Linked DNA regions of Cricetulus griseus. The protein of the gene in region 2 interacts with the protein of the main gene of each other region in a pairwise test. Links are inferred from orthologs where the notes say so. Each region holds a gene or a part of one and is shown on either strand. Other genes may lie near its edges. The genes, in order: Zbtb43 and Syt6.

What was found.
Region 1: the proteins of Syt6 (region 2) and Zbtb43 interact in binary tests that used the Homo sapiens proteins (3 or more experiments, as listed by UniProt). The two-hybrid records come from large-scale screens. The link is inferred for Cricetulus griseus from reciprocal best matches to the Homo sapiens genes SYT6 and ZBTB43.

The regions. Positions count from the first base shown.
Region 1 is NC_048599.1:145,183,875-145,188,410, reverse strand, and holds the start of Zbtb43 (zinc finger and BTB domain-containing protein 43), read left to right. Parts: upstream 1-1,612; 5' UTR 1,613-1,752; intron 1,753-4,536. UniProt on the Homo sapiens protein: May be involved in transcriptional regulation.
Region 2 is NW_023276806.1:53,374,344-53,378,692, forward strand, and holds the start of Syt6 (synaptotagmin-6), read right to left. Parts: upstream 2,818-4,349; coding exon 2,655-2,817; intron 1-2,654.

The DNA.
Region 1 (4,536 bases), on a different chromosome or scaffold from region 2:
TATCACCTGAGGCATCTCTTCAGCCCCAGTTTTTTGTTTTTTGATGTTTTTGTTTTTTTTGTATGCATGTGTATTTGTATTTGGCTTTTTTTTTTTAAAGATTTATTTATGGTGTGTACAATATTCTGTCTGCACGTATCCCTGCAGGCTGGAAGAGGGCGCCAGATCTCATTACAGATGGCTGTGAGCCACCATGTGGTTCTGGGAATTGAACTCAGGACCTCTGGAAGAGCAGCCAGTGCTCTTAACCTCTGAGCCATCTCTCCAGCCCGCATGTGTATTTGTATATGTGCTCATGTATATGTGGGTATATGGGTGGTTGTGGAAGCCAAAGGTCAAAGGACAACCTGATTGTCATTCTCAGGAATGCCATCCACTCTTTTTTTTTTTTTTCCTTTACTTTGTTTTTCCTTTTGTTTTTTCAAGACAGGGTTTCTCTGTGTAGCCCTGGCTGTCCTGGAACTCACTCTGTAGACCAGACTGGCCTTGAACTCACAGAGATCCACCTGCCTCTGCCTCCCAAGAGTTGGGATTAAAGGTGTGGGCCACCACTGCCTGGCCTCCATCCACTTTTAGGCAACCTCTCTCACTGCTCTCAAAGACACTGATCCCTTCCTCCGCAGCACTAGGATTGTAATCCTGCCACCACACCTGCTGTTTTTAGTTTCTGGAGACTAAACTCTGGTCCTCATGTTTGCAGTGCTTTGCAAAGATTTTACCCACTGAGCTATTCCCTCAATCCCCACACTTTTCCCCCCTAGCAAGATGTTCTGCACCTGTCCCCAGTTCTGTGCTTCAAGAATTTGTTTTGTTTTGTTTTATGGTTTTGTTTCTCGGAATTTCTTTTTTAAATTGTCTTGTTTGTATTATTGTTTTGCCTGCATACTTGTCTGTGCACTGTTTGCCTGCCTGGTGCCAGTGCCAGCAGAGGGCGAAAGATGCCCTGGAACTGGAGTTACTGAGGCTGAGAGCCACCGCGTGGGCGCTGGACACTGAAACCAGGTCCTTAGGAAGAGAAGCCATGCTCTTAACTGCTGAGCATCTCTCCAGCCCTCCCCAGAATCTCTGTGTATAATTTTCTCGCAAAGTCCCAGCCTTCTTTCTGAATATTCTTAGGTCCCAGAGCCGAAATAGATGCAGAGCTGGGAAGCCCTAAATTCGGACCCAAGACACAGGAATGTCTAGTCCAGCACGAATATGGGGACATAGCCTTGCAATCCCAATACTGAGGAGGTGTGGGCAGGAGTGAATTTGAGGCCAACTCGACCTACATAATGAGTTCAAAGCCAACCTGAAACTTTTATTTTATTTTATTTTTTGTAGGGGTGAGTGGAGTGAGCTCTCACTTGTCACCGTGTGTGCTCCAAGCATAGAGCCCAGGCCATTAGGCCTGGCGGCAAGCGCCTTTACCCGCTCAGCTAGCTCGCAGTTCCTAAGAGCTTCGAACTCGAAATCAGTTAACTCTTATGCCTGCCTCCCGAAACGTGACCAGCGGGACGTCCTATTGCGCAGGCCCCGGCCGCCCCCTGAAGACCCTCCCAGAAAGGGCTCCTAGAGCATGCGCACACCTCAGCGTCGCGGACGCGCCTCCGGAAGCACTGGCAGTTTCGGGGGCGGGACCGGGAAGCGTTTCCGGGGGGGCGGGAGGCTCCGGCGGAAGCTGTCCCCGTGGTGGCGGCGGAGAATAAGGCCTTAGTGCGGGCGACTGGATGCTCCGGTAGGCTGAAGCTGCGAGCGCGGAGCCGTCGGCAGGTACGGCGGGGTGGGGAGGCTGGCGGCCGCGCGAGAGGTCACGGTCGGGGTCACGAGCGTCCGGGACGCGGGTGCTCATCCAGAGCCCTCCCCGGTGGCCGCGACGCGGGACGGCGCCAGCGACTCCGCAGCCCCCGGCGCCCCGGCTCGGAGTCCCGAGGCCTCCAGCGCCACCGGGAGACTTCCTGTCCAAGGTCACCCCGCGGCAGGTGCACGGCGGGCCGGGGCGCCTGGAGGATCCGCCCGCGCCGCGACCTCAGGGTCGAGCCACCCACGCGGGAGCCAAAGCCGGGAGGGGGGACCTCGCCGCTCCGAGTTTCGCCTCTTTGTCACCCCGTCGTCACTTGTTTTTGTCCCCAGACTGGGCTCTGGTCAGCTGGAGTTTCTCTCCACCTTGTGTCCCTGGAGCTCACAGTCTGGGGACCTTGTCTTTAATCTCTGTTTCTTGACTCTGCTCTGGTTCGGGGCCCGAATGTCACACTGGCTTCTTGACCATTTGTGTGTTTTTCCCCCTCTGCCAATGTTGTGTTCTTGTTTCTCTCCCTCCCAACTGGGTTTGTTTAGGCAGGGCGGGCCCTGCCTGGACCTCTGAGCCATGGAAGGTGACTCATGACCCCGTGAAACTCGCCCGCCTGGGCGACATTCTCAGTGGCCCGACCGCAGTCTGGCCTCGGTTCTGACCGGTGTCACCCAACCTCACAAAGTGTTGGGAGCTCCTGGCCCTCACACTGAAGGCCCATCTCACGGTTTAGGCAGCTAGTGAATCCTGAACTTCTCTTCCATGTGGTCTACACAGCTCTCCAGTTATTTGCTCTTTCCAGGAGCCCCAGGGCTGTCAGGCACTGCCTCTGTTTAACCAGGTCAGCATGTCTACAGGCTCAGGAAGGACCAGGTTGACATCTGCCCTTGAGATCCTTAGCACTGTAGCAGAATTTTTAGGGGCAGCTTAGGGAAGAATTTAGGAATTCGTTCCCTGCATGTTTCCAAAGTACCGTGAGAAAGAAGTGAGACACGGGACAAATACTATTTAAAACTTTTGGAATCGAGTGTCAGTAATAGACAGGACAGAAAACAATTTATGAGGTGCTAGAGTCAGATACTGTGTTCAATGTGCACAGAGTTTAGGAGACAGTAAGAACATTCTAGAAATGGATTGGGCACAACAGTGTGAATGATGTAATGTCAACATAGCATTACACTAAGTAGTTACAGTGGTAAGTTTTGTGCTGTGTTTATACTGTATACACACAGCAGAAGGAACTCTGGAGACTTCCGAAGCTGGTATAAGCACGTCCACAGTGCACTTTAGAAACTTGGTTTGGAACATTTAGTTGAATCCCTTATATTGATGCAAGCTCTTAATAGCAGCAGGTTCAGTTGAAGGCTTACAAAAGGAGTCAGGGGACCCTGATGGCTTTAAATCGGATGACAGCAGTTTCCCACCTGTCTTCCCCTCCTTGCCCCTTTGGAATCAATGCAGAAATTTACCCTAGTGGCAACTTGAGAAATGTATTGCCTTTGACATGCAGAGAACTTGTGAAGCTGGAAAAATTCCCCTTTATTAGAGTAGAAAATGCTCTTGTTATTTCTTCACAGACTATGCCTTTGGTTTTTTGTCTGTTTTCTGTTTTATAAATCTTGCCTTCTTTACATTCATTTTTCAAGGTTTTATTTGGGGGGGAGGGGGGTTGTGTTGTTTAGATTTTTTCTTTGTTTTGTTTTGTTGCCTTTTATCTCTGAGTTCCCAGGCCAGCCTGGTCTACAGGCATTCCAGAACAGCCAGGGCTACACAGAGAAACCTTATCTCAAAACAAACTTGGGAGATATATACTGTCTGAATCCTGGAGTAGCCTGAAACTCCCAGTGTGATGACCTTGAACTGATGATCCTCCTACTCCCACCACCCAAGAATTAGATTCCTGTGTGGGCTGCTTATCTGACCAATTAGGTCACCAGAACCCTCAGAATGGGTTTCAAGATCTTACAGATTTAGACATGCTGCCTGAGTTTTCTTTCCCAGCAGAACTCCCTTCCAGAGTGGCACATGTCACTAATAGTAAACCGAGGAAAGTAAGCCTCCTTAGACTCAGCTTCTTTTTAAAGGCAGTAGAGCCTGACCTGAGCCTGGAAAATCAGAAAAATTCCTCAGTGGAAAAGATGGAGAGAAAGCAGTAACAAGGGGGAGGGAACCCAGAGAGAAACCCATTTATGTGGCTCCTTCGCCTTTCTACACCATTGTGAAAGGTTTGAAGGTCAAGGAGGGCCCTGGGACAGATTATTCCTTGGGATAATAAATGTTCTAGAAGAATGATTGTGACGAAATGAGGGCCCCTATGTGTTTTAGAGGGAAGGAGATTGAGATGGTTCTCTTTGGCTCTACAGTTGGTAGTTGCTGGTGGTAATGAATGAGTGGTCAGTCAGTTATCACTAAGACTGTTAGATGATCAATAAGCATCTGTCCCGATGGCCATTCCTGGGGGTTGACCAGGCAGGAAGGCAAGAATCTATAGAAACGGGGCTGGAGAGATGGCTCAGTGGTTAAGATCACTGGCTGCTCTTTCAGAGGACCTGGGTTCAATTCCCAGCACCCACATGGCAGCTCACAACTGTCTGTTACTTCAGTTTCAGGGGATCTGACACCTTCACACCAATACACATAAAATAAAGTTAAATAAATTATTTTAAAAAAAAAGAATCTATAGAAGCATCATTTTAGGCTGGTGGTGGCACACACCTTTAATCCCAGCTCTTGGGAGGCAGAGGCAGGCAGATCTCTGTGAGTTC
Region 2 (4,349 bases):
GCTTTTAGTTGAGAAGTTTCAGTATAGATCTTTCCAAGTCAGGGTCTGATTCATCGAGATTTCTGATGCAATTCCTTGCCCAGACCCTGGCCTATGGGAAGGTCTGTGCAAATGGCAGTGGACTCTGAGTCTCAACTGGTGAAGCTCAGGGAATCCTGGGAGTTAGACACTTCAGAACTGGCAGAAGGCAGGGGAAAAGGTAAGATGGGGAAGGAAGCCGAGCATACTCTGCCCACTTGCATTTTTTTCCCCATAAAACTGGGGAAAAATCTAGCATTGCTTTGGTTGGAGAATCAGATCCTAGATAGAGAACAAAGTGAAGGCTGGGACCTGGAAGGTCTGGCACCCTGGCCTGAACACTGCATCTCTGTAGACCTACTGCTCACCTAAATCCCCAAGGTCCTGGAGCCAGCTGAGCCACTTTCTCGTGGTGTGATCCAGCTCCCTGTCTGCCTGCATCTCTTGTCCTAACTTGGCCTCAGGATTTCTTGGGGCTTGTGACAGACACATTAATCAAGTTAAGGCTCCTTGGGGTCAGGGCAGTTTATACAACTCAAATTCACATTAGGCCAGGGTACTGATTCATGTGGTACCCTGTCTCTTGCCCAGGCTTCACTCATCTCAGCTTGGAAATTCAGATTCAAGGAATCTTTTGGGAATCAGAATATCAGTGTCTCTCCCAATATGTACACACAACAACCTCCAATGCCCCCAGCATCAATACCAGTGTCTCCCCCAAAGGTACACACAACAACCCCCACCCCCAGCATCTTTGCGGTGGACAAGTAGTAGTGCAGAACTCTGTGGATGTGTTCTGGCCCTCCATTCTCTGAGGTATCAAGCCCAGAGGGAAGACTCCACTGCAGATGGAGCGCTTGAGGAAAAGATGGGAGGGAGCTAAAGGAAAGGAGGGAGATAGGAAGAGACTGACTTGAGGAAATTTTTGTCTTGGAAGTGTATGGAGTTGGGGGGTGGGGGGGAGAAGGAGATGTCACCAGAGAAACGGTGTCCAATGACAGTCTAATCTGTTCTGAGAATACCAAAGAGGGAGAGCCAACTTTAATCACGGTCCTACTTGCAAAAGTTCCTTAAGTCTTGGTCTTTTCTGCTGCAGTCATCAACTCATTGATTAAATAGTGCCAGAGAAGGCCAGAGAGAAAAGCAGCACCCCTAATGACTCACAGATGTGAGGTGGGCTCCACTCACACAAGGCTGGATTTCAAGCAGCCTCCTAGAGGGTACACACAGTCTTCCCCGGCCTCTCTACCCCTCCCTTGAAGGCTCTATTCCTAACCTAGAGTCTACATCTATCTTTGACCTTTAACCTCAAATGGAAACAGGGGTCTGGAGTCTGAGGTCACTGGGGAGCTTACCCAGCCTGCACCTGCTCCCAGAACCTCTCCTGTGGTCCCTGGCCACTTGTCCCTGGAGACAAGTGGAGACCATCTTCTTGCCTCTAGCATTCCCCTCTCCTCTTTCCGGCGCCAGCCATATGGAACCACGAAGCGACCTCCCACTTAAGCCTAGGCCCAGAGCCACTAGGGTCCGAGTCCGGGTCTCGGTCGAGAACAAGGTTCAGTGAGTCTGCGGAGCCCCAAGGAACTCCAGCGCCTCAGTCTCTGCAGGATTTCCCCACCCCCACGCCGCATTCACTCCGGGCCTCGCGCTGCCCCGGGCCCTTTGCTCGGAAGGTACACGACCCATACTCGCTCTGTCCTGGACCCTCCTAATTGCGGGACAAAGGATCCCGCTGCAGCGGGAGAGCTGCTTGGCGGCAAAGACTGGTGCAGCAGGTACATACCCGGGCCGGTCGGCTGCCACGCCGCGGACACTCCCGCGGCTCCCGCCGCCAGGGCGCGACACGCCACCCCTGTTGTCGCGACTCCCGCGAGACGTCGCGGCTGCACGCGGGACCCTCCCCAGTGGGCTCGGGCTCGGGACTCACCAGCTCCGGTGAGCTGGACTTGGCTCAGGCTGCCGCCTAGACTCGGCGGCTGCCGGGGCTGCGTCCGGCGCAAGGTCCGCACCTCCCGGGCAGGAGGTTCCCGCCTGGCAAAGTCGGCGAGAGGCACCGGCTCAGTTGCGCACCCGCCCGGAGTCCAAGTGAGTCAGAGACCGAGAGAGCGAGTTATAGGGGTGCCGGGGGGTGGGGAGTACGCCACGCCACCCCGCCCCAGCCCCCCGGCGAGACGCAGACAGCCACTCGCTGCTGAGAGACCTGGACACAAAGACCGCGTGCCAGCTGCAGACGCAAGTTTTTCCCAAGCCTAGGGGCTCGACCCGCCTTCACCCAGTCACTGAGGGGCCCTGGACTTTGGAACCCCCGGAGGACTCGGGCTTTCCTCCGCACCCAGGATGTCTCCCTCTCCACGGCTCTGGCCGATCGGCCCTAGGATGAGCCTAGAGACACAAGGGAAACTGAGGACGCATGGGTGCCGCATCTCGGAGCTCTCGCATTAGTGATGGGGAGAAGGGGTTCTTCTCCGGGGTCCCCTTCGGATCTCTTGCTGTGGGCGGCGAGCCATCGGACTGGCCCAGGCCGGTACCCCAAGCTAGACTTCTGAGGTTCTGGGGCTCTTGGGCCGGTGCCTTGGGAAGGGGAGGCCACCGGTGTGAAAATCCAGGAATGGAGGGGGCTCTGGGTCTCCTGGTACCTGAGTCAGCCGCGCTCGGACTCTGCTCCGGGGGCTGCAGCTCGAAGCTCCGACAAGTCTCCACGTCCAGCCCGAGAGGGGGCGGCCGGGCCCGGCACAGAGAGGCCAGGACCGCGAGCGCCGCCTGGCACCGAGGCCCTCCGGCCCCCCAAACCCCGCTCATGCCCCGTACACTCAGGTCTGAGGAGCAGTGGCTCGCACCCCACACCACGGCCGGACTGGGGCGGGGCAAGGCGGCCCCAAGAAGACCCTCCCCGCAGCGGCCCCCTGCGGTTCGGCTCTGCTTTTAATCACTTCCCTGCAGGGTCCCCGCCCCTCACGTGGCATCCCGCGGCAGCTGGCAAGTCTGGCGCCTCTCGACCGCCCCCTCCACACGCAGGGACCTGCCCGAGTCCGGGAAGGTTCCAACCCCGCTGTCCCACACAGTGCAGGATTCAAGGCCAGCCGAGCAAGCACCGCGGAGGTGACCTTGGGCCTTTCCGGGACTCAGTTTTCCTTTTCGTAAAAGAGGTGTAATGATTACTGGTACTTCATGAGTTCCCTGGGAATAAAGGTAGTACTTGTGAAAACGTTGGGGAAATTGCCACATGTCACACAAGTGGGCATCGCAATAACACAACATAAAAAGGGATGGCCAGACTGTACGGCGGGAGAACCCTGCCAAGGTTGTTGATAGGAGAAGTTAGCCAGACTTGCCAAGTCTCAGCTTGGGAGATAAAAGACCCCAAGACTGCGGAGCGAGGGGAACTGCAAAGACTTTCTGAGCCCCACAGTCTTGTGGTCCGAGGCACCGGCACGTTGCTATGGAGACGGAGGCAGCGGCCGTCTCTCTCCATGGCAACGGGAGGAGAAAGTTTCTGGTGAATAGAAATGGGGAGCATTTCAGGAAGGGGTTCGGTTCCCACCAGACCCACCTCCACGCATCAGACCAAAGCCACCAGAAATAATATATTTGTCTATGAAGCATACATAAAAAGGGCCAGAAAGACAGAAAACTAAATAGAAGGCTAGACTGTAAAAGGAGCTCCCCTCGGGAACCGTGAAGTGAGACTCAGAATCAGGATGGTTGGGATGCTTCACTTAACCCTGGAAATCTGCGAGCCATTGCTAACTGCCAGGGGACCGAGCCCGGTAAGGTTCTATCACGGTGGATTCCTGTCCTTCACCTATCACCAATGTGTCACCTTCCCGAGGTGGCATCTTGGAAAGAAACTTTAGCTGGAGCTCCTCCTGCACCTTCAACTACGGGGCTAGTGTGCAACGGAGAGTGGTCGGGGAGGAGGGTCTTTCCTCCGAATTAACACGCTAATTGGAAGTGGCTTAGGCTGTGACTCAGGTTCCGGAGGGAGGAGATTCGGAGCGCCAACTCCAGGCGATCCCCATCGTGCACCTTCTGCACCAGCCTCATCACAGGTCCGTTACAATTGCAAACCCCAGTCAGGAAGGGCCGGGTGTAGCAAGGAAAACGCTGAGGCCCTGTCCGTGGTGCTGAAGGTTCTATTGGTACAACCAGCCTGTGCGCAATGTATTAGGGAACAACGGGGAGGGGCAATTAATTATAGCCGGTTCTCAGCTTCCACCCGGGTCCCTGGAGTCTGCCATAAAGAGATGGAGGATTTCAGGCAGGAGGAACTGAGGAGGCTTGATCCTTGAACCCTGTGCAATCTGGACCACCTTCCAGCCGGTGGTGATGGG